Callithrix jacchus: one gene and its partners. The protein of the gene in region 1 interacts with the protein of each later gene in a pairwise test. Links are inferred from orthologs where the notes say so. Each region holds a gene or a part of one and is shown in the gene's direction. Other genes may lie near its edges.

Region 1 (3,564 bases):
ACCCCGCTGAGGCCACCCACCTGTTCTATCTCTGCAGAGGGGCGGTGCCCTGAAGAAGGGCCCCTATGCCCGGGCCATGCTGGGTATGAAGCTCTCTCTGCCATATGGACTGAAGGGGCTGGACTGGGATGCTGGACATCTGAGCAATCGACAGCAGAGCTACTGTTACTGTGGTGGCCCTGGGGAGTGAGTAATGAGGGGGAGCAGACTGTGCAATGAATGATGGCGGGGTGGACCCCAGGAAATGAAGGAGAAAGAACAGTGAGGGTAGCACTCAGGGGGTTGTGAAGTAAGTGATAAGCAGGTTTGGGACAGATATAGGGATGGTTGCAGTGAGTCGAGAGGCCAGAAGTCCTCTGTTTCCCCTTAGGTGGAACCTGAAAATGCTGCAGTGCCGGAGCTGCCTGCAGTGGTTCCATGAGGCCTGCACCCAGTGTCTGAGCAAGCCCCTCCTCTATGGGGACAGGTGAGACTCTCCAGGAGCCAATGATGCTCTGTCTTTGTGCTCCACCCTCAGTTCCCCCACGCCCTTCTCCACTCCAATCTCTTCCCAACCTCTGCAGGGTTACCTCACCTGTTCACCCCATCCTTGCTTGTGAGTCCTCCAGGAGACGGCATAGTTTTTCTGTGTAAGGTGTGTGTTCTCCCTCTTGTCCACGTCCAGGTTCTATGAATTTGAATGCTGTGTGTGTCGCGGGGGCCCTGAGAAAGTCCGGAGACTACAGCTTCGCTGGTGAGCTGGATTGGTCATGACCTCAGTGTAACTCTGCACCCCCAGCATTTCACTCTGTATGCCCCAACCTCCCACCTCAGGACTCCTCTGGCTCTTAAAATGCCTCTGTGGTCTTGAAAACTCTTTCTCCAGGGTGGATGTGGCCCATCTTGTCCTTTATCACCTCAGCGTTTGCTGTAAGAAGAAATACTTTGATTTTGACCGTGAGATCCTCCCCTTCACTTCTGAAAATTGGGACAGTTTGCTCCTGGGGGAGGTAAGGGGTAGTGACTTTTGGGAGTTGGGATGGGACAGGAAGATGTATTGGAAAGGGGAAGAGAAGAAATCACTGCTCCCCTGGCCCCATTTTCTTTCCTTCTCCCAGCTTTCAGATACCCCCAAAGGAGAACGTTCTTCCAAGCTCCTCTCTGCTCTCAACAGCCACAAGGACCGGTGAGTTGGAGGGAAGAGGAGGCAAGGGTGAGGCTTGGAAAGAGATGGAGATTGGAAGCCTGGAATGGGAGCCGTTTGTAACCCATCTGGAAGACTGTGACTGAAAAGGATTTAGGAATGGTGTAAGGGGGGACCTTTTTTACAGCAATGACTGTATCATTTATCTTCTTGCCCCAGTTTCATTTCAGGGAGAGAGATTAAGAAGAGGAAATGTTTGTTTGGTCTTCATGCTCGGATGCCTCCCCCTGTGGAGCCCCCTACTGGAGATGGAGTATTCACCAGGTCACTGGTCCAGGGGGGATGGGGGAAATTCTCAGGGTGTTAGTCTGGGGAATTTATGTATAGAGATGGGGAGGTCTTTGGGGTGTCCGGGAGGGGGCTGGGGGGATAAGGAGGCCTCTTACAGCTTCCCTTCAGGGCAGGGCCCTGGGGGAGGGGTCTCACGTCCCCTGGGGAAGCGCCGGAGGCCGGAGCCAGAGCCCCTGAGGAGGAGGCAGAAGGGGAAAGTGGAGGAGCTGGGGCCACCCTCAGCAGTGCGCAATCAGCCCGAGCCCCGGGAGCAGAGGGAGCGGGCTCATCTGCAGAGGGCACTGCAGGTACAGGGGAAGGGGGAACCCTATGGAGCAAATGGTGGGGTGTGGGAAGGAGTCAAGAATTATCTCTCAGTCCTTTGCCCCCTCTTCTAGGCCTCAGTGTCTCCGCCACCCCCCAGCCCTAACCAGAGTTACCAGGGCAGCAGCGGCTACAACTTCCGGCCCACAGATGCCCGCTGCCTGCCCAGGTCAGTGCTCCTCTGCCCCTTCCCCCCAAAAATACACTCCCATTTATTCATATCTTCTGGACTTTCTCACCCAGAATTCTTTTCCGTCTCCCCCTTGGCTACCCACTTCTTGTCCTAGACCAACTTCTAGAGCTAGTGTCTGGTAGCCAGTATTCAGGGGAAGGGAGTCCCTTGGGGGTAATGTTTGAGCTCTGTACTTCCTAGAGGGAGAAGGTCCTGTTACCCTGCTTCAGGTCCTGACTTTCCCCCCTCTGACCCCAGCAGCCCCATCCGGATGTTTGCTTCCTTCCACCCCTCTGCCAGCACCGCAGGGACCTCTGGGGACGGTGAACCCCCAGACAGGTGAGATGCTGTCCTCTATTACCAGTGATGCTCCTCTTCCCCTCTATGTGCTCAAGGCTCTTAATCTCTTAACTCTTTCTGTTTCTCTGATTCACATGTGCTCTCCATTTCTGCCTGTTTCTTACGATTGCCTTCTCTCCTTAGGTCACCCCTGGAACTTCACATTGGTTTCCCCACAGACATCCCTAAAAGTGCCCCCCACTCGATGACTGCCTCATCATCCTCAGTCTCATCCCCATCCCCAGGTCTTCCTAGACGCTCAGCACCCTCTTCTCCTCTGTGCCGTAGTTTGTCTCCTGGGACTGGGGGAGGAGTCCGAGGTGGGGTTGGCTACTTGTCCCGAGGGGACCCTGTCCGGGTCCTTGCTCGGAGAGTACGACCTGATGGCTCTGTGCAGTACCTGGTTGAGTGGGGGGGAGGCGGCATCTTCTGAACAGCCTGCCTCTGCCCACCTCCCCATTCACATACACCGGCACTTTCATACCCTGACCTCTGACCTCACCTACAGCTGGGATGTACCTGGAGAGATAGGGGGTAGTTCTCCCTGCTGCCCAGGCTGGAATCCAAGAGTGGGGGGTGGGGAAGAGGCTCTCTTCTCTACCATCCTTCATGATTCCTGACCCCCCCATCCTTCTTCCCATTTCCTTTGACGTTATTTTGTTACAGCTTTTTAAATATTTTTTAAAATTATTTAACCCCTGGGGGCAGAGACTGAGGAGGGAGGATGATAAGGGAACCCAGACTCTGTATGATTGAAATAAAGAGAAATAAACAAATCTAGCAGCTCTGAGTCATTCTGAAAGATGTAGAGAGTACAGGGACTTAAAGCACTTATACACTCCCAACAAATTTGCATACATGACAAGGACAAAACAGGCAAAAGGCAGAGAGAACCAACAGGATTTATTGGGGGCCCAGTCATCACCTGGAAGTCAGAAGACATTGAAATATCGTGGGGGATCATGGCAGAACAGGGTTCATCATGGCAGGACTGTGCTAGAGTCAGAAACTAACTCTGTGACCTGATGTACCCACTGCAGGTATGGAAAATTCCCCTGTTCCACAGGCAATGCAATCACCTCTGCCACTTCATACGGGTGCACAGAACTGCAAGATAGATGGGTGGGGGAAAGGGATTACTCAAAGATTTACCCAAAGGAAACCACCCCCTCAGGCACAAGCCTTAGACGGCCCAGCAAGTCACACCTCACAGTACACACCCTCACCCCATCCATCTCAAAAGTTCTCACCGAACAAAATCTGTCAAAGCCGGGAC
Region 2 (4,115 bases), on another chromosome or scaffold:
CCTCGGTCTCCCACCGCCCCCCCCCATTTCCCTGGGGCTTAGAGCCGGGCCCTCAGAGCCCCCGCCTCCCCCTACAGCCCTCCCAGACGTGGGCGGGAGTGCAATGCGAACCAGATGGGGCTAGGAGAAACCAAAGGGGGAGACAATGGTGGGTTGCAGAGGGGGGTGCTAAGCTCCTTGAAGGCGCTCTTCCCTCCAGCTCTGCCGTAGGAAGTCACGTCGGAGGCTACCCGACCTCTTACTCATCTCCACTAAACTCTCGGGCGAGGTCCCCTAACAGACAGACGGCCCCAGGAAGGGTATCGTCTTTGTCACAGCCTTGCCACACAAAATGCCCAAGCAGGGCCTCATTCTCAGCAAATAGAGGACAAGTGGAGGAAGGCGGGGTTTCACCCCCGAATCCCTGCCTGACCTACGCGCTGACAAAACTCGACGCGTCTAATCAACTCGCGCACCTAAGTGGTGGCGTGCAGTATAACCCTCCCATCCCTGTTTCCTAAACTTTCCAGATTAGCATGGAGGCCTGGGTTTCCGAAAGCGGACTCCTCAGATTACTCCACTGGGGGCTGGGGAGCGGCGCAGGGATATCTAGGGGATCCCTGCAGAGCCCCACGTCCTCAGGCCCAACTTAAGTGCACACTCTGTGGGAGTCAGATGCACGCACAGGAGGAGCCGCACACCCCAGCCTTCGCCAACTTTTCCCGACTTCTAACATTCACACGTCCAGCACCGCAAGGCCTGAGTGTGAGCAGTGGGCGTCCGCGTAGTTGTTTAGCCGCGTGTGCACGTCCGTGCGCTTCTGTGTCTTTGTGTACTTGTGCGTGGTTGTGAAACTCCGCTCTCAGCTCGGAGGGGTGGGGGAAAGTAGGAATGTCGCCGGCCCGGCACTCACGTGGGTACGTGGGCTCAAGAGGGCCGGCTGCGCATCCGGCGTGGGCGGCACTGAACGACCTCGCCCCGCCTGCTGGGTCCCCAAGCCCGTCCTCCACAGCCGGGCCTCGGTCACCTCGGTCCCTAACTATGCGCCCGGGCTCTGAGTCCCCGCCCCCGCCTCCTGCTCCACACCCCCTCCCCCCAGTCTCCGCCTCTCCCAGTCTGTAAGCCGCGGTGTCTCAGCGGCCGAGAGGCCCCGGTGCCCGCCCCCCGGTCCCCGCCCCCGCCCCCGCCCCCGCCCCCGCCCCCGGCTCTGCCCACGCCCTCCGCCCGCCAGCCCCGCAGCCAGCGCAGAGTCGGGCCTCGCTCCCCGTGCGTCCTGCGGGGGCGGAGGCGCGGAGAGGCGGCAAGCGCAGCCGGGGAGGCGGGGGGGCAGAGGCACAGACAGAGGCTCGGAGGCTCGGAGAGAGAAGACGTGGAGGGAGGGACAGAGCCTGGACAGCGGTGGACACGGCATTTTGCGTGGGGAGGAGCGCAACGCGCAGCAGGCGCCGAGCGCCGGGCACCGAGAAGGGCAGCCCGGGTGGTCTCCGGCAGTCCATGCACAGAGCGCCTTCCCCCACAGCCGAGCAGCCGCCGGGCGGAGGGGACAGCGCCCGCCGGACCCTGCAGCCCAGACTCAAGTTAGTGGGCAAAGGGAGGCAGAGGGGAATGGAGATGGGTGGAGCTGGACTTGGGAATGGGGTCCAGAGGGCGGAGGTCGAGAGGAGGACGTGGGGAAGCGGGTCGGGGGTGGGGGGTGGAGACTGATGGAAAAGGGGGTGCGTCTTCGAATTAGGGGTCCCTGGGAGCAAGCAAGCATCTGATGAAGCGGGATATGAAAGAGTAGTACCTAATTCTCTATTCCCGGTTTACTCTGTGGGGTGGATATGGCACAAGTGCCCCCTCAAAGAATGTGGGAGCCCCCAAGCACCAGGGGATGCCCTGGAGCTTGAGCTGGCATCAGTGCGGAAGGTAGGGGGACGCTCAGCTGCCTCAGTCCGTCGTTGGCACGGCGCGCGAGCCCCCGGGGTCCAGGAGAAGCCAGTGCCTTTGAGTTAAAGGAGCATCAGCGGGAGGGGGGACGGGGTTACGAGGGAGGCCTTAAGCTTTCCTTCCCTTATCTGTCCCTTTATTCACAGAGTGGGGAGAGGAGTTTCAGTGTGCAGCCCCTTTATCAAGAGGCCTTGAGCCGCTCCCCCACTCCACTTGAAGATGCGGGTGGAAAATAAGGGAGAGGAGAGTAGGCGGGAGCCCCTGGGCGGTTTTCGCCCACAGACGCTATCACTGTGGGAGTGTGTGTGGGCGGAACGGCCCTGGAGCAGAACAATTGCGCCCCTCCCCTGCTGCGGCCCCTGAGCTGCAGGAACAGGCCCACAGAGAAAGTGGGGAGTGTCAGTGCTGGGAGAGGGGCCACTGAGGAGAACTGGGCAGCCTGAAAGGGGTGGAGAGGTCCTAGCGGGAGAGAGGAAGCCTGCGTAAAGAATGCTTAACCCGGTCAGGCACGATGGCTTACGCCTGTAATCCCAGCACTTTGGGAGGCCAAGGCAGTTGGATCACGAGGTCACGGAGTTCGAGACCAACCTGACCAACATGGAGAAACCCTGTCTCTACTAAAACTACAAAAATTAGCCAGGCGTGGTGGGGCGCGCCCATAATCCCAGCTACTCAGGAGGCTGAGGCAGAAGAATCGCTTGAACCCAGGAGACAGAGGTTGCAGTGAGCCGAGATCGGGCCACTGCACTCCAGCTTGGGCGACAGAGCGAGACTCCGGCCCACCTCCCCCCCCCGCCCCAAAAAATAAAGAAAAAAGAAAAAGAATGCTTAACCCCGGGAAAAGCTGCACAAGGAGCAAGGCAACACCTGGCTCACTGAGTGGGAAAGCCAGGGAAGGTGACACACCCTCACTCTCAGCCACCTGGTGCTGTGGCCCGTCCACGGGAAGTGAAACTGACCAGCTGTAGTGTCCCTCAGTGTCCACTGTGGGAGAGACAGGGCCCTACATTCACATTAGTATGGGTGACTTCACTTTCATTAGCTTTGAGACTGCCCAGTGTTTAGAGTGGAAGGTGAGGATTGTGTTTTGGGGGAGAGGGAGGTCCAGCCATCCCAGATTGGTGCTGGTCAGGTCTTGCCCCAGACCAGAAAGATAAAAGCCGAAGATGGGGTTGTAAAGAGACTTGCACTCCTGCAGACATGGGCACTGGCTTTTGGTGCTTCAGGCTAGTCTAGGACGGCCCCGGCTTGTCCATGCCTCTGAGCAGTGCCTGATTCTCAGGGTCTGTACTCAGATGTGGGTACTGGGCAGGAGAGCATCCAAATGGGGGGGGGGCGAGAAAAGCAGGCAGAAAAGAGGGAGCAATTGTTAGTGTGGGTGGGTACCCAGTAGGGGGACTTGCACCGACTGCCTCTCTCTTGTGCCCCTCCTTCTCAGGCCCAGTGCCCGAGCCATGGCACTGCCTCGGACGCTGGGGGAGCTGCAGCTGTACCGGGTCCTGCAGCGCGCCAACCTCCTTTCCTACTATGAGACCTTCATCCAGCAGGGAGGGGACGACGTGCAGCAGCTGTGTGAGGCGGGTGAGGAGGAGTTTCTGGAGATCATGGCACTTGTGGGCATGGCCACCAAGCCCCTCCATGTCCGACGCCTGCAGAAGGCACTGAGAGAGTGGGCCACCAATCCAGGGCTCTTCAGTCAACCAGTGCCTGCTGTTCCCGTCTCCAGCATCCCGCTCTTCAAGATCTCTGAGACTGCGGGTACCCGGAAAGGGAGCATGAGCAATGGGCATGGCAGCCCAGGGGAAAAGGCAGGCAGTGCCCGCAGTTTTAGTCCCAAGAGCCCCCTTGAACTTGGAGAGAAGCTATCACCACTGCCTGGGGGACCAGGGGCAGGGGACCCCCGGATCTGGCCAGGCCGGAGCACTCCAGAGTCGGACGTTGGGGCAGGAGGAGAAGAGGAGGCTGGCTCGCCCCCCTTCTCCCCCCCTACAGGGGGAGGAGTCCCTGAGGGGACTGGGGCTGGGGGGCTGGCAGCAGGTGGGACTGGGGGTAGTCCAGATCGACTGGAGCCAGAGATGGTACGCATGGTGGTGGAAAGTGTGGAGAGGATCTTCCGGAGCTTCCCAAGGGGGGATGCTGGGGAGGTCACATCCCTGCTAAAGCTGAATAAGAAGCTGGCACGGAGCGTGGGGCACATCTTTGAGATG
Region 3 (3,500 bases), on another chromosome or scaffold:
GCTCCTGTGCACCCCAAGACCCCCACCTCGGACTCAGCCCACACCTCCCAGGAGCCAGCCCTTGTGGGCAGGTAGTGGCTGGGCCAGGTTTCCCTTGTACTGACTCACCATGGCCTTGAGTAAGTCATTTCCCCTCTGGGGTGTCACTTCCCCACGCACAGTTTAAAGGGTTGATTTAGTTGGCTTGAATTAAATGTGAGGGGGAAGCTCAGGGCGTCTCGAGGTGGGCTGACCCCTCAGTTGGGCCCCCATGCTCAGCAAAGGTGGCCTGCAGTGGTGGAGTCTTAGGGTCAGGGTCACTTCCTGGCCCTGCCTCTTGCTGGGTGACTTGAGTCAAGTTGTTTAACCTCTCTGTGTACACTTTCAAGTGCAAAATGGGTAAAATCTCAGATTACTCCACAGGGTTGTTGGAAGATGCAGCAATGTGTAGCATACTTGGTGCTCAGTAAACTGAAGGAGGTGTTCTTATTTAGCGAGTGAGGAAGGGGCCACCGAGCTCTCTTAGCTTCCCTGAAGTCATTCCTGATGGTCTTAGTTCATGCTGGTGGCAGCCATTTCTCGCAGCCTATTGTCACCCCTTGTTGCCACTGGAACCAGGGACTCCCAGCTCAGAGCCTGAAGGATTGGAGTCAGGGGAGTTGGCAGTTGAAGGCTTGGGAGTGACACTCATGTATGGCCTATGAAGCCCCAGCTGTCACCTTAGGCCCCATTCAGGCAGTGTTCATGGGGAACCTGGAGATAACAGGGCCTGTTCCTGGCTCTCAAAGTGTCCCAGCGGACCCCTGCAGATGGCCCCCAGATAGGGTGCTGGAGGGTAAGAGATCCATAAGAGCCCCCAGCGGTAGCAGGGAAGAAGCTGCCCCTTGCATGGGCCAGAGGGCATATCTGGTAGTATAGCAGCCCTGGGCAGGCAGCCAGCAGGTGCTTCAAAAGGCAGGTGGTCCTCCTGAAACACATGGGCCTGAGCATGGCTGTTTGTGGGTATCATAGAATTTCTGGACTGTGGGGTAGGGTCGTGGTGCAGAGTAAATAAATCAGCAGTGTGATGGGAAATTGTGAAGCTCAGGTGAGCGCCACCACCTCCTGGTTGCTTTAGTGTCCAGCAGCTGCCTAGAACTATGTTGAATGAAGAGCTCTCTGGCCTCTAGAAGTGGGGCAGCATTACCACCTGGCTTGGGTCTGCAGAGTCTAAGGACCTCGGTCACTGTGCTTTTCTCTGTAGCTCACTCCTGGAGGCAAAGCAGCACAGGCTGGAGTGGCCGTTGGTGACTGGGTGCTGAGCATCGATGGCGAGAATGCAGGGAGCCTCACACACATCGAAGCTCAGAACAAGATCCGGGCCTGTGGGGAACGCCTCAGCCTGGGCCTCAGCAGGTATGCGCGTTGGTGTGGATGGGTGCACAGTCGCTAGCAATGGGGATTCTCATGGGCCCACGCTGTCACACTTTCCTTTTCCTTCAGGGCCCAACCGGTTCAGAGCAAACCCCAGAAGGTACGAGGCGGGCCGGGACATCTGGGCAGCGGGCGGGTTGGGCTTGGACAGCCAGACCTGCTCGCCCTCCTGGCACAGCCTCGGTACCCCAATCCCTGGTCAGAAGTAGAGGGCAGAAACTGGAGCTAGGGTGGGTCTAGGGCCCTGGAGTTGAGCCAGGGGCTGCCGCACGGTCTGGGCACCACGCATGTTTGCCTGTCTGTCCGCCTGCCTGCCTCCCGCCGCCGGTGCTGCGTGTTCGCCCGCACTTGGTCAGCCCTCGGTCCTGCGTGGACTGAAATCACCACTCCTGAATGGGCCCCTTGAAACCTGAGTTGTCGTCTCCCCCTAGTCTCCTGCAAGATGTGGGGGGTGTGGGGGGCTGGAGCTGCCACTGTCTTCTGGTGCGGGCGCCCCACTCCCACCCAAGTCCCTGCCCGCCTGCCCTGCCCGGCTCTGTCTCTGCTCAGGCCCCGGCCCCTGCCGCGGACCCCCCGCGGTACACCTTTGCACCCAGCGTCTCCCTCAACAAGACGGCCCGGCCCTTCGGGGCGCCCCCGCCCGCTGACAACGCCCCGCAGCAGAATGGGTATGTCAGCCCCGGCCCGCCCGTGCCCGTGCCCATGCCATCAGGCCCCTTGTGGCCCCACGCCCTTTGCCCGCTGCCCGCTGCTGCTCAGTCTGTGCTGTGCCCCAGCCCGGCGGAACCGTGCGGCAGCAACCCCTGGCGGCCGGGGTGGGACTGCAGGCACAGGGCCCCTCCCAAGGCTGTGGCACCCTGCAGGGCACTGCCCTGGGGAGGGGTCTCTGAATGAGGTCGCACCCCCTGCTGGCGGCTTGGGGTTGGGTCATGGTGTTGGGCCAGTTGAGCCCTAGACACTCAGTGCTGCCTGGTCCCCGGCTGCCCTGACCCCTCCCCATCTTTCTTCCTCTCCTGTGTCTGTCCCTTTGTCCCTTTATCTCTCTATCTGTCTATTTCCTTCACAGGTGCAGACCCCTGACAAGTCAGTGAGCCCCCTCTGCCTGTCCCTCTCTTCTTCCTTTTGGCACTCTGGGCGGTGGCCCCTCCCCACCCTGGCTGCCCTCCTCTCCACTTTGCCCTCCTGTCCTCTCATCCACCCGCCTAGCAGGGCTTCTGGCCTTGCCCTTACCCACTCCCTCCCATCACTGTAACCCACATGCACCAAATCCTGGGAGGGGCTGCCCCCACTGCCCACCCCCAGCATGGGGTTCTGAGCCGCACCCTCCCCACAGACAGCCGCTCCGACCGCTGGTCCCAGATGCCAGCAAGCAGCGGCTGATGGAGAACACCGAGGACTGGCGGCCACGGCCTGGGACAGGCCAGTCGCGTTCCTTCCGCATCCTTGCCCACCTCACAGGCACCGAGTTCAGTAAGTGCCAGCCTAGGCAGGGTGGACTCTCCTGGCCTCCAGCCCAGGCGTGAACCCTGACCTTCTGTCTCTCTTGGTCAATGCCTGTCTCTGCCCTCTCAGTGCAAGACCCGGATGAGGAGCACCTGAAGAAATCAAGGTACAAGAATGGGCACTAGCCCTTCTCCCACCTCCTGCCTCTTCCATTCCAGCTACTGCCCTATGTCTACTCCTGAGGCTCCCAGCTGGGGCTTTCCATTCTCCTTCCTTCCTTCGCTCCCTCCTCCTCCTCTTCCTTCTTTCCTTCCTTCTTTCCTCCCTTCCCTTGCTCCTTCCTTCCCTCATTCCTTCCTACCCTCCTCCCTCCCTATGTCCCTTCCATCTCTCCTTCCTTCCACTTCTTCCTCCTTCTCTCTCTGCCCCTCAGGGAAAAGTATGTCCTGGAGCTGCAGAGCCCACGCTACACCCGCCTCCGAGACTGGCACCACCAGCGCTCTGCCCACGCGCTCAACGTGCAGTCGTAGCCCGGCCCTCTCCAGCCGGCTGCCCTCTCTGCCTCCCTCTTTCTGTTCCTCCTGCCCAGGGCACCCCCTTAGTGTCTCCAGCTTCTGCCTACCTCACCCCCGCTTCCTGCCCCTGGCCTGAGTCTCCTGCTGGCC
Region 4 (4,121 bases), on another chromosome or scaffold:
TGATGGCTGGGGGTGTTGCACTTCTGGGTTTTAGGGAGGAGAGAGCTGGAGACCTGGAGTCCCAGGTCCTGGAGAGGAGGGGTCTGGGGGCCGGTGGGAATTTTTTATCTTGGCGAGGAAAGAGTTGGGCAGGGTTTGGGAGTTTTAGGTCTCATTCAAGAGGGAACTGGGTTCTGGGACACTTGAGAGGAGGGGAGGAAGCGGTCGGGGGCGGGGAGAGGGCCGACACCTGAGTCTCAAAGAGGACTGGACTGAGGTATCCAGACTCCTGGGTCTGAAGGAGGAGGGGCCGGAGGCCTGGACTCCCGGGTCTGAGGGAGGAGGGGCCTGGGAATCCGGAGTCCCGGTGCTGAAGTTTGCCATTCTCATGTCCTACTCATCCTCTCCAGGTGGAAATTTGGACTCCCAGGGAGACCCTCTCTCACGTGTGCCGCTCTCTCCGTCGGACCCCACGCGCCAGGAGACCCTTCCCCCCAGATCTCCCCCGGTGGCTAATTCGGCTTCCACCGGGTTCTTTCGCGGAGGCAGTGGGCGTGGAGGAGGCCCCGCCCCCTGGGGGCCCACGTGGGATGCCGGGATCGCCCCTCCGGTCCTGCCCCAAGACGAGGGGGCGTGGCCTTTGCGCGTCACTCTTCTACAGTCCAGCTTTTAACCCTCCCAAATGCGGCAGCCAATTGGAGCGTGAGGACGTGACCGGAGGTACCGCCGCAGAGATGTGGGACCACTCAGGGCATCAGGGGGCGTGGTCTGGTCCCTGTCGCCAGCCCGGGACGGGAATGGTTTCTATGGCCAAAGTTTGGTTTTCTCAACACTGTCTAAATTTGGATTAAAACTTTGAACTTGTAGTCAATAACTTTGTTTCTCTCTGTTGGGGGTTGTGGCGCTGGAGTCTCTGATGGGCAGAGCCGGAGTTGTGGACTCCTGGGTCCTGAGAGAGGAGGGGACAGGGGCCTTGGACTTACAGGTCTCTGAGAGGAAGGGATGGAGAAGCTGATCCCTCAGTCTGAGGGAGGAGGGGCTGGGGGCCTGGACCCCCTGAATCTGAGGGAGGAGGGACTGGGGTCTTAGGGAGGAGGGGAGTGTCTGAGGGAGGAGGGACTGGAGCTCCTGGATTCCTGAGTCTGAGGGAGGAGGGGAGTGTCTGAGGAAGGAGGGCCTGGAGCTCCTGGATTCCTGAGTCTGGGGGAGGAGGCGAGTGTCTGAGGGAGGAGGGACTGGGGACAAACCCAGGTTTCCAGCCTTCCTGGCAACACCCCCCGGGGCCGGACTTCCAGGATCCAGCCCCTGTTGATGGTTTGATGCAACGCTGTCACGGGGCTTTGGAGGTAGACAGAGGCGCAGAGTAGAGAGACGGACAGAGACCGACGGACACGGGATGGCCACGGGAACGCGCTACGCCGGGAAGGTGGTGGTTGTGACCGGGGGCGCGCGCGGCATCGGAGCCGGGATCGTCCGCGCGTTCGGTGAGCGGGGTCTGGCCGCTGGGAGCTGGGGAAGGATGGGGGCTGGGCAATGGCGGCGGAAAATGGAGACCCCAGTAATACAGCTGGGATTCTGACCTTACAAAAGCCCATTTGCAGGCTAAAGTAAGCGCGTGCCGCGGTAGGCTGGGGCTGAGTCTGGCGAGGTCTCGGAGGGCAGTGGCCCCCTTTCTCTGGGTCTGTTAGTGAAGCTGCAATACCAGTGGCTTGGGGAATGGCTCTGGCAGTCGTGGGGCTGGCTCTGGAACCCACGAACGGGGGCTCAGGAGCCTCAGCAGAAACCTGGCCAGGCAGGGAGAGCATGTGTCAAGGGCTCTGCCCTCTGCCCTCTGTCCTGAGGGTGATCATGAGACTGGGGTCACGAGGAGAGGGGAGAGGGAGAGCGACCCCACTCCAGGTGGCCACCAGAGGGCGGCAGAGGCTTGACCCAAGGCTCGGAGGGTCACCTGTTCCCTTCCTATTCTCAGTGGACAGCGGGGCCCAAGTGGTTGTTTGCGACAAGGATGGTGAGTGATGGTCCCTCAGCCCTCACCCCGGCCCTCTTCCCTCAGACCCAGGGGTCCAGGCCCCAGCTGCTCCCTCAGATTCAGGGGGTCCAGGCCTCCAGCCCCTCCTCCCTCAGACCCAGGAGTCCTGGCCCCAGCCCCTCATCCCTCAGATTCAGGGGTCCAGGCCCCAGCCCCTCCTCCCTCAGACCCAGGGGTCCAGACCTCTAGCCCCTCTTCCCTCAGATTCAGGGGTCCAGGCCCCCAGCCCCTCCTCCCTCAGACCCAGGGGTCCAGACCCCTAGCCCCTCCTCCCTCAGATTCAGGGGTCCAGGCCCCCAGCCCCTTCTGCCTCAGACCCAGGGGTCCAGGCTCCCAGCTCTTCTCTCACTGCAGAGTCTGGGGGCCGGGCGCTGGAGCGGGAGCTCCCTGGAGCTGTCTTTATCCTTTGTGACGTGACTCGGGAAGACGACGTGAGGGTGAGCACAGTTCCTGCTCCTGCTCCACGCCTCCACTAATTGCCAGTTCTTTGTTCTCCAGGCATCCGCATATGCCGTTCCCTCTCCTTTTCCTTCCTCTCCTGGCTCCACTGGACCCATCAGAGGTTTCCACCTAGTGTCACTCCACACATAGGTCTTCCGTGATTGGCAAGCAGGTCATGTGTTCCTCATCTCCCACCTCTCCAAGGCTCTTAGCACATCTGACATGTGAATGGAAATGAATAAAAAGTCCCTCAAAGTGGGTCAACTGTAACGGATTTTTCTTTCTCTTTTGTTTTTTTGGAGATGTCACCCAGGCTGGAGTGCAATGGTGTGATATCAATTCACTGCAACTTCCACCTCCCGGGTTCAAGAGATTCTCCTGCCTCAGCCTCCCAAGTAGCTGGGATTGCAGGCGCTTGCCACCATGCCCAGCTTATTTTTATATATTTAGTAGAGACAAGGTTTCACCATATTGGCCAGGCTAGTCTCAAACTCCTGACCTCAGGTAATCTGCTCACCTCTGCCTCCCAAAGGGCCCCCAGCCCCTCCTCCCTCAGACCCAGGATTCCAGGCTCCCAACTCCTCCTGGGTTGGAATTCCAGGTGTGAACCACCGCACCTGGCCTGTAACCGATTTTTCTCCCTTGTTTCTGTTTCTGGGTTCCGATTTCCTCCTTTTCATTTTCTTTCTTTTTTTTTTTTTTTGAGAGGGAGTTTTGCTCTTTGTTGCCCAGGCTGGAGTGTAGGGGTGCCATCTCGGTTCACTGCAACTTGCACCTCCTGGGTTCAAGCCATTCTCCTGTCTCACCCTCCCAAGAAGCTGGGATTACAGGCGCCAGCCACCACAGCTAGCTAATTTTTGTATTTTTAGTAGCAACAGTGTTTCACCATGTTGGCCAGGTTAGTCTCGAACTCCTGACCTCAGGTGATCCACCCACATCAGCCTCCCAAAGTGCTGGGATTACAGGTGTGGGCCACTGTGCCCGGCCCCTATTTCTTCCTTTCAATCAGTATCTCTCTGTTTCCTGCCCCACTTGGGTAACTGTCTCCTACTCTCTATCTGAACCCTTGTCAACCCCCACCCCCTGACCTTGGAATGATGACTGCACTGTGGCTCTGACCAGCTCCCTGTCTCCTTCCTGTCTGCTACTCGCCTGCCATGTCTGCTGATCTCGGCACTCCCTCTTCCTCTAGCTCTTGTCCCCTGAGCTGGGAGTCCAGCTTTCCCCTCCTGCCTTGCATTTGGCAGCCCTGTCTGCCTTATGGCTGGACACCTCATCTACTGCTCATTCAAAGGACATTTCCTGGGTAAGGTGTGGCGCCTGTAATTCCAGCACTTTGGGAGGTTGAGGTGGGCAGATCACCTGAGGTCAGGAGTTCGAGACCAGCCTGGCCAACATGGTGACACCCCCTCTCTACTAAAAAATATAAAAAATTAGCCAGCTGTGGTGATGCCCACCTGTAGTCGCAGCTACTCAGGAGGCTGATGCAGGAGAATCACTTGAACCTGGGAGGCAGAGGTTGCAGTGAACCAAGATCGTGCCACTGCACTCCAGCCTGAGCAATGAGGAAAAAAAAAAAACAAAACCAAAAAACAGAAAACAAGAAAATGAAAAAATCAAAGAAAATTTCCTTCCTCCTCAGACTCTGGTTTCTGAGACCATCCGCCGATTT
Region 5 (4,288 bases), on another chromosome or scaffold:
TGCTTGCTTGTGTTCCCTGCAGCAACCAGCAGCCCCATAGTTTGCGACTCCTCTCGTTTCCTTTAACTCTGTGACCTTGCACACCCCTTCCAGGATGAGCAGCAGGGGAGAGAGGCTGAACGATGACAGGGGACTCTTAGGGCCAGCTAGATGGATGAGCTGCCGGGGTTGAGGGCTCAGTAGGGGGTTGGGGAGTGGTGAGGCTTGGGCCCATCCATCTGTTCTCTCTGTCCCGCCCAGGTGTCCCTGGGGTTCCTGTTCCACCCCTGGGCTTCTCTGGGGTCAAGTCCCCCTCCCTGCTCCCTCGCTGGGAGTTGTGCAGCATGGCGCAGCTGTGGAGCTTGGACCAGGGGTTCGAGTCACAGCCAACCTCAGAGCTCCAATCCCAGTGCCCACACTGATGCACCTCTCTTGGGGACATCAGAGCCTCTCTCCTGGCTATCTGGGGAGGCTGGTACAGAGGGAACTGGAGAGATGGGGGAAGTGAAGGGAGATAAGAGGAAGTGGAGGGAGATGGGGGGTGGGGGAAGTGGAGGGAGGTGGGGGAAGTGGAGGGAGGTGGGGGAAGTGGAGGGAGGTGGGAGGAAGTGGAGGGAGATGGAAGGAAGTGGAGGAAGGTGGGGGGAAGTGGAGGGAGGTGGGGTGAAGTAGAGGGAGGTGGGGGGAAGTGGAGGGAGGTGGGGGGAAGTGGAGGGAGATGGGGAAGTGGAGGGAGGTAGGGGAAGTGGAGGGAGGTGGGGGAAGTGGAGGGAGGTGGGGGAAGTGGAGGGAGGTGGGGGAAGGAGGGGGAGAAAGGGATGGGAAGGGGCCGGGGGAGGGGAGCGCAGCACAGGCCTTTTTGTCTGCTCTGATCTTCATGGCCTGAGGAAAAGAGCTGCTCCGAGACCTGTGGAGGCCCCGTGGGACAGAGGATGTTTCAGAGAACACCCGGGTAACCTGCCTCCCGCTCCAGCCCCGAATGACACGGCACTAGGCCCTGTGCGGCCAGAGTCACCCCGGAAAGGTGGGGGCTCACAGCCCCGGCCTGGTCGGCCGCACAGTCCATCCATTCTTACTTGAGCCTTCTCTGCTTCCAGAGGCTGCCCTGGGCGCCTGACCCCAGAGCCATCATCTCTGGCTCCCCAACCGGTCCCCCACAGCCCGGGGCAGGCACCAGCCTGGGGGAGGGTCTCCATGCTCAGTTCCCTCCCCTCTGGTTTGGAGAGACACTGCCTGCCCACGTGCAGTGAGCGGAATCTGAGACCCTGCCAGGGGCCCCATGACACGCCCCCGATGCACAGAGCATGCGATCCCAGAGGCCACCCTGGGCTCTTCCAGAAAGCAGTAGGCCCCAGGATATTCCCCACCCAGGGTGACTGGTGGCAACGCCGTGCCTATCCCTGCTGTCCCCGGGTGGGTGCGGGGATCAGGAGCTCCAGAAGGGCAGCCAGGCATCCTCTGGGACTGGCCATCTGCCCCACTGCTGCTGCAGAGCTGGCCAGAGCTGCCATTCCCTCCATGGGGCCTGAAGACAGTGCCAAGTGCCTGCACCGTGGGCCGGAGCCGAGCCCCGAGGAGCACCGTGGCCCCCACACTCTGTGCTGCCCTGTCCTGGGCCTGGACACCTTCAGAGCCTGGGACCACGTGGATGGGCAGATTCTGGGCCAGCTTCGGCCCCTGGCAGCGGAGGAAGAGGAGGATGGCGCCGGGGCCACCTCGCCCAGGGGTCCTGCCTTCCCCGGCATGGGCTCTGAGGAGCTGCGTCTGGCCTCCTTCTATGACTGGCCACTGACCGCTGGGGTGCCGCCCGAGCTGCTGGCCGCTGCCGGCTTCTTCCACACAGGTCAGTCCTGGGGTATGGGGCTTTCCTGCTGAGGCCCTGGGCATGATTCTGGACTCTTCCAGCCCAGGGTTCTGCCTCCTTCGTGGCACCCATACCCTAGAGGGAAGGGTCCGGCCTGATGACTGAATGGTCTTGTAAGCCCCTTCAGTGGCCATGTCCTGGTGCCTGACACTTTCCCCCAGAGTCTCTGCTGGCCTAGTTGTTAGACTGTGGGACAGGAGGAGGGGCTGCCTCTGGCCACAGTCTGGGAGTCTCAGCTGTGGAGGCTGCTACCTGGGCGTGCAAGTACCCCTTTGTGATATAAGTGGGAGGGGCTGACATTGCCTGGGGCCCTCACCTTCCCCCCACCGCTGGTCTGCATGGGGTGAGATGTTTAAGGAACAGATCAGGGTGACCGAGGCAGGCAGTGCTCAGCTGCGAGGTCCTGGCCACTCAGTCTGTGGGGAATTTCTCCAGGCCCCAGCCCACAGCCACTGTCTGGTCTTCCCCGACGGAACCAAGCGCCCAGAGCCCCTATCTTAGTCTTGGCCTGGGCCTGCTCCTCGGCCCTACATCTGGGACCACGTGGTCAGACCTGAGTTCAGGTCTTAGCTCTGCCCCTTCCTGGCTGAGGGACAAGTACTGGCACAGCCTTGGTCATCGTCAGCAATGGGCTCTGGGGGGCACCGTCCTGGGAAGGCCAGACCAACATGAGACAGCTGGGGGTGGGGACCGTGGCTGAGACAGTCAGGAGCCTCATCGTGAAGGGGCCGGCCCAGCTCACCCACCTCCCCGGAGGTCCAAGGCTCAGCAGGCGAAGGCCGGGCCGAAGGTATAGCAGCTGCAGAGCAGGGCTCTTTGGGGGTCCAGAGGTCCAGCGCCTGCTGCAGCCCAGACCTGTGATGGCAGTGCCAGGTGACATATCCCATGTCTGCCATGAGGGGATGGAGCTGCCAGGAGGTAGAGCAGTGAGGGGTTTCCCACCCCCAAAGGAAGGCATGAGTTCCTAAAACCAAGCCTGGCACCAGATTGGCCTTCTAGGGTAGCCGCCCCCTTCTGCTCACTTGTAATCCATTCTGGGAAGCAGAGACCTGGGGAGGGGCCCTTCTGACTCCCGAAGCCCCAGGGCTATAGATGTGCCAGGCCTTGGGGGGCCCCCACCGCTCACTCTGTGGACAATGCAAATGCCAGCTCAGTCCTTTCCTGAACCTTCTCACCCGTCCTGCCTGGCACCCAGACAGTCTTGTCCCCTTCACTTTTGATGCAAATGGTGTGCATGTGACATCACCCGCCAAGCCCCTGCCCACCCCTCCTCCCTGATACGACCTGGGAGCTCCCCACCCCTCCACCCCAAGCTCTCATAACCTTGGAAGGACGAAGCGGGGGTCCTGGGGCTGGGTGGGGCCTGGCTAGTGCCAGTATCTCTGTCACAACCCAGGCCAACAGGACAAGGTGAGGTGCTTCTTCTGCTATGGGGGCCTGCAGAGCTGGAAGTGCGGGGACGATCCCTGGACAGAGCATGCCAAATGGTTCCCCAGGTACTGGCTGCTCCCGGCACCCTGGGTCTGATCACGGGTCATGGTGGGCCCCGAAGGGCTCTGTCAACCCAACCCCAGGCCTGCTTTGCCTCCCTGGCCCCACAGGGCACTGGGAAGGCCCCTCTGTGGATGGTGCTTCTGCCCGGCAGGTACCCACTTTTCCTGTGAGGGCCCCTTTTGGGAAGGGCTGCTGAGGGCAGAAATTCCTCTCCCACGGAAATACCCTGAAGGCCCACGAGGCGTCTCCAAAGCAGCCCCCCCAGCCCATGCCCACAGGCACTGCAGGGCAGTGGGAGGAGGGGCCCAACCCTGGCCCCAGGGGCTCTGAGGGCTGAAGCTGACAGGAGGCTCGTAGCCCCAGCCTACATCTGGGGGCATCTGCAGGTGTCAGTTCCTGCTCCAGTCTAAAGGGAGAGACTTTGTCCACAGTGTGCAGGAGGCTCACTCCCAGCTGCTGGGCTCCTGGGTGAGCGCCACCTCTCCTCGGGGCTCCGGGAGGCAATGGGGTCCGGCCCCTCCTGTTTCCCCAAGGCACCAACATTCTCTGGCTCCTTCCAGGACCCGTGGGAAGAACCAGAAGACGCAGCCCCTGTGGCCCCCTCGGGTGAGAGCCGACACCACCCTGGCTGCCTCCTCGGGCACCCGCAGCCTGTGCTTGGCCAAAGCTACTGGGTGTCCCCACCCTGCCAGACAGCAAGGACAGTGATGGGCATGACTGGGTGTGAGGTGCCACCAGGGTTGACCTCATGGGGGCTGTGCCATGAGGATGGGGATGGGGCAGCAGGGGCCTCCCGCCAATGCCAGGCCCTAACTCTGCTTTCCCCCAGCTCACCCCTTGGCACAGCCCATTGCCGCCTGCCACAGCACCCCCAACAGTGCCCAGCACACAGCGGCCACAGCCACTGCCAGAGGGGCTGGATGTGCAGAGGGCCTTGGACAAGGGCCAGGC
Region 6 (4,295 bases), on another chromosome or scaffold:
TGTTTTTTGATAGTGGCCATAATTGTTCATTTTTAACATTAACCATATTGATCAAATAACTTTGAGTGCCAGGGGATGCACAAATGTGAGGTTTGTGTACGATCTACAAAGCTGCAGTTAAAATTTTTTTCTCTCACTTGCTCCTAAACACTGTTTTAAACTTATAATGGGTCTAGTGCAGTGTATCATTGTTTCTTCTTGATTTTCAGCAGTCTGTATGGGAATTTTTAACCTTCGTAGGAAAAGCAATGGAACATCATGGTAGCTAAAATTGCAAATCTCAAACTTGGCAGAATTATTAGAAAAAAGTAAAGTTCAGTAGAACAGATTGTGAGGAAAGCATTATTCATGTCACAGGAGTTTACAAATAACAGGTGTACAATGCACTGGGATGTTTCTCGCCCATTAATGGAAACGCTCCGGAGACTGTACAGTCAAGAAGATGGATAAGGTTGTAGATCCCTTCCGCTATCTCCAGTGATTCATTTTTTTTTTCTCTAATACTGCCTAACTTCCTCTGTTACAGACACTGGGTAGTATCAACATGTTTCCTTACTGTTCAATCTGAAAGACAAACCCTCCAAAAAATTAAAAATAGAAAAAGTAATGTTCTGATTTATCTGCCATCAATACTTTTTATTTGTGGATTCTCTTAATACCATATCAGAAATAACTTTATAATTTATTTTTTTGAGATGAAGCCTCGCCCTGTTACCCATGCTGGAGTGCCGTTGCGCGATCTCAGCTTACTGCACACCCCGCCTCCCCGGTTCAAGCGATTCTCCTGCCTCAGCCTCCCAAATAGCTGGGACTACAGTCACCTGCCACCACCCCTGGCTAATTTTTTGTATTTTTAGTGGAGACAGGGTTCCACCGTGTTAGCCAGAATGGTCTCGATCTCCTAACCTTGCAATCTGTCCACCTCGGCTTCCCCAAGTGCTGGGATTACAGGCGTCAGCCTATTTTTTATTTTGTTGTTTCTTTTTGTATAGAGAGTCTTGCTAAACAGTATTTCTTGGCCCTTGCCCATGCTAGCTGTTCCCTTTGGTGATACGGGCAAAATTAACCCAAACCATGAAATAAAACATTACACTCTATTTCCTTCTTCCCTGCCTCTCCAGGTTTCCATCGCTTTTCACCTTAGCCCTTAGTTTTGTTGCACTGGTAGCATCCTGGAGCCTCGCAGGTTTTTCTCAGCTCATTCACTCTCTTTTCACCCTCAACCGTGGCAGCTCCAGAATGCGGGTTTCTGGTGTGTTATCTTCTGTTTCTGTGAACTTTCGCTGCCAGTCACTGCCTTTCCATTTTAATTGCATTCTCCCACCCCCGCAGTCTTCCTGGAATGCTTCCTGTTTTGCTCAGGTGGGTCTCATCCTCCCGGGGCCCGCATCTCCTCTTTCGCCTTCGTCTGACTGAGCCCGGTTGCAGCTGAGTCCTCGGCGTGGGGAAGTGAGGTGGGGGAAGCTGAGTCAGGTGCGCGACCTTGTGTGTCCGCACTTCCGGTCGCGCGGCCCACGCCGGCCGCCATTATGATGCAGAGCCAGGTGAGTCGTCTGGGCCCAAACCTGCTGTTGGAAGTGCAAGGGCACCGAGAACCACCCTACCTGTAAGAGATCTGTTAAACTTCCTCAGATGGGATGGGGAAAGGTGAGAGGGTGACATTTCAGGTGACCAATGCCTGAACTGGGGCTTCCAGGGAAAGGCTAGAGAAAGACGTGGCGAAAAACTCTCCCTCCTGGGGCTGTGACTTCTATTATATTTACTCATCGTAACTTTTTTTTTTTTTTTTTTGAGACTGAGTTTCACTCTTGTTACCCAGGCTGGAGTGCAATGGCGCGATCTCGGCTCACCGCAACCTCCGCCTCCTGGGTTCAGGCAATTCTCTTGCCTCAGCCTCCTGAGCAGCTGGGATTACAGGCACGCACCACCGTGCCCAGCTAATTTTTTGTATTTTTAGTAGAGACGGGGTTTCACCATGTTGACCAGGATGGTCTCGATCTCTTGACCTCGTGATCCACCCGCCTCGGCCTCCCAAGGTGCTGGGATTACAGGCTTGAGCCACCACGCCCGGCCAACATTGTAACTTTTTAAAAATAACTGTGGAATTAATAGTAATTCCCCTGAAATACCCACCCTGTGTTGATGGAGCAATGGCAAAAAGCTCGTGCTTAAGTATTCTTGTCCACAGCGTTGCCAGTGCCTCCTTGGTACGGAAAACCAGGTGTGACAGAGTCACCTCAAGCCCCGCAACTTCTCCAAAACCCGAATCTGCGTGAATATTGCCTTTCTATAAAATAATGGAATCCGTTTGCCAAGTCTATATTCTCCTAAACTGTAATACTTAATATTTTTTTCTCTGAAGTCTTATTTTAAATGGTTTTTTAAATGGTGCCCTGCACTAATGTTTTTGGTAATTATGGCTAAAAAAAATTTAAAATCTTTAAGTGATGTAAAAAGAACCTGAATCTGGAATATGCTGCGTGGATACTGCCTTTTTAAAAAATACTGGAATCCGTTTGCCCAAAGTCTATATTCTCCTAGACTGTAATACTTAATATTTTTTCTCTGCAATCTATTTTAAATGGTTTTTTAAATGGTGCCCTGCACTAATGTTTTCAGTAATTATGGCTATAAAAATTAAAAGTCTTTAATCTGCATGATATAGGAAAAAAAGCTGTGTAGAATAGTAGTTAAGAGCCCAGGCTTTGTTGAACTGCCTGAGTTCAAATCAAGCTCTAACACCAGCTGTTTTGATTTTGGACCTGTTCCTTTACCCTCAGTTTCCTTATTTGCAAAATAGTTCCTATCTTACAGGGTTGTGGTCAGGGTAATTGGGTAAATACAGGTTTACAGTTGCTTATCTGAAATCCTTGGGGCCAGATGTGCCTAAAAATCTTTCAGATTTTATACTGATTGATAATTGACTGAGGCAGTCTGTTTCTGTGGCCCATGCTGGAATGCAGTTAGCTCACTGCAACCTCCACCTCCCAGGTTCAAGCAATTCTCTGGCCTCGGCCTCGTTAGTAGCTGGGACTACAGGGGCGAACCGCTATGCCCGGCTAATTTTTGTGTTTTTAGCAGAGATGGGGTTTCGCCATGTTGGCCAGGCTGGTCTGAACTCCTGGCCTCAAGTGATTCTCCCACCTTGGCCTCCCAAAGTGCTGGATTACAGGTGTGAGCAGCCACCCCGCCTGGCCTCTTTCAGATTGTAAAAGACAACATAGTACATAACGCATTGGTAACATAATATAGTGAGGTCTAAGGTAGCACATAGTAATTAAGCACATTAATATTTTTGCAATGAAACATGAATAATACACTAAGTGGGATAAGTTAAAACTATAAATAGTTTAACATCACTTCATATCAGGTTTTGCCACCCAGTGAGTTTGCACTGCCCTCCTCCCAGACTCACCACTGTAGGCTTTTAGAGCGTTTAGATTTTGGAATTGTGGATTAGAGGTTGTGGAGTCATATGTAAACCATTTGAACAGGGCCTGGCATATAGTAAGCACCCTATAAATGTTATGTGCAAAACTGAATTCTTCCTATACTTTATGACTAGTTTGTCATTATTTAAAAGAGTAGTTTAAATCATAGTGCTTTAAAGTGGATGTAGTGTAGGCCTATGTAACTATTTGTGTGTATTTTTTGCATATTACTCCCTCATTTGGGTTTCAGGTCTGTTTTTCCCATGGTAAAAGAACAAGAGAAAACAAGGCAGAGCAGAAAAGTTCCATGTTCCTTCTCACTCCTGCTTGCCTAGTCAAAACAATTGAACAGTTTAAGATGTCTATTTCAAAGATTTCAAGTAAATTCTAAAATGTTTCCTCTTGTCGTGACTTGTGACTTCAGCCTTGACTTGCCACTCTGTGCATCTAAATCTTTTGATCTGCTTTGCTGCCAATGGATTATTTCCAGAATATGATGGTGTAGACATTCTTACATTTTAGGCAATTTAAATGCTTCTAAGATTTTTTTTCTTACCCAAAAGAGGTGGCTTCTGAGTTTAGGACTGTGGGATTGATGTTTTATGTGAGTTCATGGCTGTGTTATGTTATTTGGCCTGAAAGTCTAGTGATCTGGTACATTTTATCCTGTGATCCATTAATATGTATTGAAAATATACTGCAGTTCTTACAGTGAAAAATAATTAGACCCATTTCATCCTCTTTCTACTTAATACACATATTTACCCAGTCTAAGCCTGATTAAGAAGGGCAGTGTGGGAATGGCTGAAAGAAAAATACATGCTTTTCAAAAGGTAAACCAGAACTGGAAGCAGAAACTCTGAA
Region 7 (3,500 bases), on another chromosome or scaffold:
AGGCTAAGTGGAGCAGATCACCTGAGGTCAGGAGTTCAAGACCAGCCTGGCCAACCTGGCGAAACCCCGTCTCTACTAAAAATGCCAAACTTAGCCGGGTATGGTGGTGTGCACCTGTAATCCCAGCTACTTGAGAGGCTGAGACAGGAGAATCATTTGAATCTGGGAAGCAGAGTTTGCAGTGAGCCAAGATTGCACCATTGCCCTCCTTGGGCGACAAGAATGTAACTTTGTCTCAAAAAAAAAAAAAAAAATTCACTAATGTTAGGCTTTATGCAGTCGCCAGGCAAACCTCTTTCTCCACTATCGCTGTGAACATTCATATTTACTATGTTCCCAGACTGGGTAGTGACTCCTCTTTCTAAGATCTTCCTTGAAATTGAGGAAACTTTAACTCACAGAAATCATTTCTGTTTTGCTAACTCTGTGTTCTTTGAAGCAGTTAATGAATTTAGTTCCTCACAGTAACTTTTGGTAGCATTAGATCTGTACATTTATTTTGTTTGCATTTGTAAATCATTTAAGTTTTTGTATTTCTTGTATCAGATTGGAAGTTTTTTAAGATCAAAAAGAGGAAAAGTGTTTTTTGTAGATATTCGTAATGCCTAGTAAAGGTTTTGCTGTTAACAGTTGCTTAAAAAACAAACAAACCACCATTTGGCCATTTGGTTTGGCCGGCCGGACAGAAGCCTTGATGTTGCATTCTTTTCAGGTGCACTGTATTAGCACAGAGTTCACTATGAGGAAACATGGTGGAGAAAAGGGGGTGCCATTCCGAGTGCAAATTGATACCTTCAAGGAGAATGAAAACGGGGAATATACTGAGCACTTACACTCGGCCAGCTGCCAGATCAAAGTTTTCAAGGTATTCCTGGGCAATGTGCTAGCCCTTGGATTCTTTTACCTTATCATTCTATATTAACATTAGCTACGAAGTCAGAAAGTCAACTTGTCTTTTTTTTTTTTTTTGAAAACTCAAAAAATGAAAAAATGTCTAAGCTAGAGTCATTGAAATAATTACCAAGATGCCTGGTAAAGAAATTTACATGGAAATGATCATGGGATAATAGGAACTTGGAAAAAAGGGCTAGAGACAAGAACATGGGTTCTCATTGAAAGCTCTTAAAGCCTGTTGAAGTTACAAGCTCTTGTAAAGCTTACAAAAATTGAGTATTTTTGGTTACATTCATACTTGATCTTTTCTTATTTGGTCTTATTTATTTATTTATTTTTGAGACTAGGTCTCAGTCTGTCACCCAGGCTGGAGTGCAGTGGCGTAATCACAACTCACTACAGCCTCAACGTTCTGGGCTTAATCGATTCTCCTGCCTCAGCTTCCCCAGTCAGTGGGACTACAGGCATGTGCCACCACATCGGGCTAATTTTTGTATTTTTTTGTAGAGAGAGGGGGTCTTGCCGTGTTGCCCAGGCTGGTCTTGAACTCCCGGGCTTAAGTGATCTGCCTGCCTCAGCCTCCCAAAGTGCTGGGATTATAGATATTAGCCACTGTGCCCCAGCCAGGGTCCTATTTATTTTTATCACAGGGATAAGTATGTTCTTGGTCCGGGTGCAGTGGCTCACACCTGTAATCCCAGCACTTTGGGAGGCCAAGGTGGGCAGATCATGAGGTCAGGAGATCAAGACCATCCTGGCTAACACAGTGAAACCCCATCTCTACTAAAAATACAAAAAATTATCTGGGCATGGTGGCACACACCTGTAATCCCAATACTCAGGAGGCTGAGGCAGGAGAATCACTTGAACCTGGCAGGTGGAAGTTGCAGTGAGCCGAGATTGTACCACTGCACTCTAGCCTGGGTGACAGAGCAAGACTCCATCTAAAAAAATTTTTTAATTTGTTCTCATTGTAAGATATTGAATAATACAGAAGTATTCAAAGCAACGAGGAAATTCTCTCTTTACTACTCTTACGCTGAACCCCCTCACCGTCTTATGATGGAGGAAACCACGGTCATAATTTTGTATGTGTTCTTCTAGTTCCCTCTTCTTCTTCTTCTTTTTTTTTTTTTTTTTGAGACGGAATTTCACTCTGTTGCCCGTGTTGGAGTGCAGTGTCACAATCTCAGCTCACTGCAACCTTTGCCTCTTAAATTCAAGCAATTCTCATGCTGCAGCCTCCCCAGTAGCTGGGACTACAGGCATGTGTCACCATGCTCAGCTAATTTTTTATATTTTTAGTAGAGACGAGGTTTTGCCATGTTGGCCAGGCTAGTCTCGAACTCCTGACCTCAGGCGATCTGCCTGCCTTGGCCTCCCAAAGTGCGATAGTTACAGGATTGAGCCACCACGCCCAGCTCTTTTAGTTCCCTTCTGTGCTTTTATACACAGGCATACATAGCTACATACATATTTTCTTTGACACGTAAGTGGGATTATACTATTTGAATTGTTTTGAGACTTGGTTTTTTTTAGTGAACTGTGTGCTTTAGACATATTTCCATGTCAGTAGCTATAGATCTGATTCTTTTCAACCCTATCAAACATGTAAATTTCCTATTTTCAGACTTAAACTGATGTGTCTTACCTTTACATACCTGCACATACAATTTTGTTTCATATGTGAATATTTAAGTTTTTAGAAGTAATATTGTTGGCTTAAAAGGTGATTACCTGAGTTTAAAACAAAATATTTCTCATTTCAGCCCAAAGGTGCAGACAGAAAGCAAAAGACAGACAGAGAGAAAATGGAGAAACGAACACCTCATGAAAAGGAGAAATACCAACCTTCCTATGAGACGACCATACTCACAGAGGTAACAGGATTTCTCTTGGTGACAGTTTCAGTTCATAATTTTTAATCTTAGAAGAAAATCACTTCCAAACTGGTCAAAATTTACTTCTTCTAAGGAATATTCTCTCTCACTCTGTTTTGGTATTGTTTTTGTTTTTAAAAAAACAAGAGCACAAATCTACTTTTATTGATTTTTCATTAGTTTAAATCCTTAAGGGGTAAGCATCACTCAGATTCTGTGTCCAATAGCCTTAGCAGGAAGGTTGCTTTGGAATTTAGCATGAACCATGCCACTGTTTCCATAGGCCTTTCCCCAGATTACTCTGGTTTTGTTTGGTTTGCTGCCAGGAGTCACTGTGTTGTTCTTTGCTTTGATACATACGCACATCTCTTGCCCAAATAGAATTCTGTTTCATCTTGGGGATAAACACCTTCAATTTTAAGAAGAGCTGTGTGCTGCCTTTGGTTCTGGAGAACCCACTTATATCCAGCAAAAATGGCCCAGGACCACAGCTTTCTAGACGTATTTCCTTTTAGAAGTCCTGTTCCCAGAAAGCCTCCACAGGCTTCAAGATGGCGGAAAGAGAAGCAATGTTGTCTATTGCTTATGAGGGTCTCTGAGGAATTAAGATTTACTAATCAAGATGTGCTATTCAAGGAGCAATGTGTTAGTGAAATCCTAGGGTCAAACGTGCTTATTCGTTATCTAACTTATCCTTTGTTTTCAGTGTTCTCCATGGCCTGAGAT

What was found.
Region 2: the proteins of PHF1 (region 1) and NAB2 interact in binary tests that used the Homo sapiens proteins (3 or more experiments, as listed by UniProt). The two-hybrid records come from large-scale screens. The link is inferred for Callithrix jacchus from reciprocal best matches to the Homo sapiens genes PHF1 and NAB2.
Region 3: the proteins of PHF1 (region 1) and PDLIM7 interact in binary tests that used the Homo sapiens proteins (3 or more experiments, as listed by UniProt). The two-hybrid records come from large-scale screens. The link is inferred for Callithrix jacchus from reciprocal best matches to the Homo sapiens genes PHF1 and PDLIM7.
Region 4: the proteins of PHF1 (region 1) and HSD17B14 interact in binary tests that used the Homo sapiens proteins (3 or more experiments, as listed by UniProt). The two-hybrid records come from large-scale screens. The link is inferred for Callithrix jacchus from reciprocal best matches to the Homo sapiens genes PHF1 and HSD17B14.
Region 5: the proteins of PHF1 (region 1) and BIRC7 interact in binary tests that used the Homo sapiens proteins (3 or more experiments, as listed by UniProt). The two-hybrid records come from large-scale screens. The link is inferred for Callithrix jacchus from reciprocal best matches to the Homo sapiens genes PHF1 and BIRC7.
Region 6: the proteins of PHF1 (region 1) and RBPMS interact in binary tests that used the Homo sapiens proteins (3 or more experiments, as listed by UniProt). The two-hybrid records come from large-scale screens. The link is inferred for Callithrix jacchus from reciprocal best matches to the Homo sapiens genes PHF1 and RBPMS.
Region 7: the proteins of PHF1 (region 1) and TFCP2 interact in binary tests that used the Homo sapiens proteins (3 or more experiments, as listed by UniProt). The two-hybrid records come from large-scale screens. The link is inferred for Callithrix jacchus from reciprocal best matches to the Homo sapiens genes PHF1 and TFCP2.

What each region holds. Positions count from the first base shown.
Region 1 is NC_133505.1:41,647,669-41,651,232, forward strand, and holds the end of PHF1 (PHD finger protein 1), read left to right. Parts: intron 1-37; coding exon 38-186; intron 187-370; coding exon 371-466; intron 467-664; coding exon 665-733; intron 734-865; coding exon 866-989; intron 990-1,097; coding exon 1,098-1,165; intron 1,166-1,342; coding exon 1,343-1,447; intron 1,448-1,571; coding exon 1,572-1,761; intron 1,762-1,851; coding exon 1,852-1,946; intron 1,947-2,207; coding exon 2,208-2,288; intron 2,289-2,432; coding exon 2,433-2,721; 3' UTR 2,722-3,064; downstream 3,065-3,564. Other genes in the region: protein CutA, read right to left, coding at 3,269-3,395, 3,539-3,564. UniProt on the Homo sapiens protein: Polycomb group (PcG) that specifically binds histone H3 trimethylated at 'Lys-36' (H3K36me3) and recruits the PRC2 complex. Involved in DNA damage response and is recruited at double-strand breaks (DSBs).
Region 2 is NC_133510.1:62,623,425-62,627,539, reverse strand, and holds the start of NAB2 (NGFI-A-binding protein 2), read left to right. Parts: upstream 1-1,315; 5' UTR 1,316-1,473; coding exon 1,474-1,556; intron 1,557-3,346; coding exon 3,347-4,115. UniProt on the Homo sapiens protein: Acts as a transcriptional repressor for zinc finger transcription factors EGR1 and EGR2. Isoform 2 lacks repression ability.
Region 3 is NC_133503.1:68,644,111-68,647,610, forward strand, and holds part of PDLIM7 (PDZ and LIM domain protein 7), read left to right. Parts: intron 1-1,222; coding exon 1,223-1,374; intron 1,375-1,461; coding exon 1,462-1,492; intron 1,493-1,941; coding exon 1,942-2,060; intron 2,061-2,458; coding exon 2,459-2,479; intron 2,480-2,725; coding exon 2,726-2,862; intron 2,863-2,938; coding exon of another isoform or gene 2,939-2,964; coding exon 2,965-3,001; intron 3,002-3,268; coding exon of another isoform or gene 3,269-3,365; exon of another isoform or gene 3,366-3,500. UniProt on the Homo sapiens protein: May function as a scaffold on which the coordinated assembly of proteins can occur. May play a role as an adapter that, via its PDZ domain, localizes LIM-binding proteins to actin filaments of both skeletal muscle and nonmuscle tissues.
Region 4 is NC_133523.1:42,680,588-42,684,708, reverse strand, and holds the start of HSD17B14 (L-fucose dehydrogenase), read left to right. Parts: upstream 1-1,321; 5' UTR 1,322-1,375; coding exon 1,376-1,463; intron 1,464-1,948; coding exon 1,949-1,987; intron 1,988-2,362; coding exon 2,363-2,445; intron 2,446-4,091; coding exon 4,092-4,121. Other genes in the region: PLEKHA4 (pleckstrin homology domain-containing family A member 4), read left to right, coding at 390-652. UniProt on the Homo sapiens protein: Catalyzes the NAD(+)-dependent oxidation of L-fucose, yielding L-fucono-1,5-lactone, which rapidly converts spontaneously to L-fucone-1,4-lactone. Can also act on D-arabinose and L-galactose, with lower catalytic efficiency. Does not use NADPH.
Region 5 is NC_133506.1:58,738,001-58,742,288, forward strand, and holds the start of BIRC7 (baculoviral IAP repeat-containing protein 7), read left to right. Parts: upstream 1-1,488; 5' UTR 1,489-1,497; coding exon 1,498-1,822; intron 1,823-2,171; exon of another isoform or gene 2,172-2,716; intron 2,717-3,239; coding exon 3,240-3,339; intron 3,340-3,723; coding exon 3,724-3,805; intron 3,806-3,897; coding exon 3,898-3,943; intron 3,944-4,166; exon of another isoform or gene 4,167-4,288.
Region 6 is NC_133514.1:31,589,899-31,594,193, forward strand, and holds the start of RBPMS (RNA-binding protein with multiple splicing), read left to right. Parts: upstream 1-1,495; 5' UTR 1,496-1,529; coding exon of another isoform or gene 1,530-1,544; 5' UTR 1,545-1,632; coding exon 1,633-1,647; intron 1,648-4,295.
Region 7 is NC_133510.1:68,329,868-68,333,367, forward strand, and holds part of TFCP2 (alpha-globin transcription factor CP2), read left to right. Parts: intron 1-712; coding exon 713-865; intron 866-2,663; coding exon 2,664-2,774; intron 2,775-3,480; coding exon 3,481-3,500.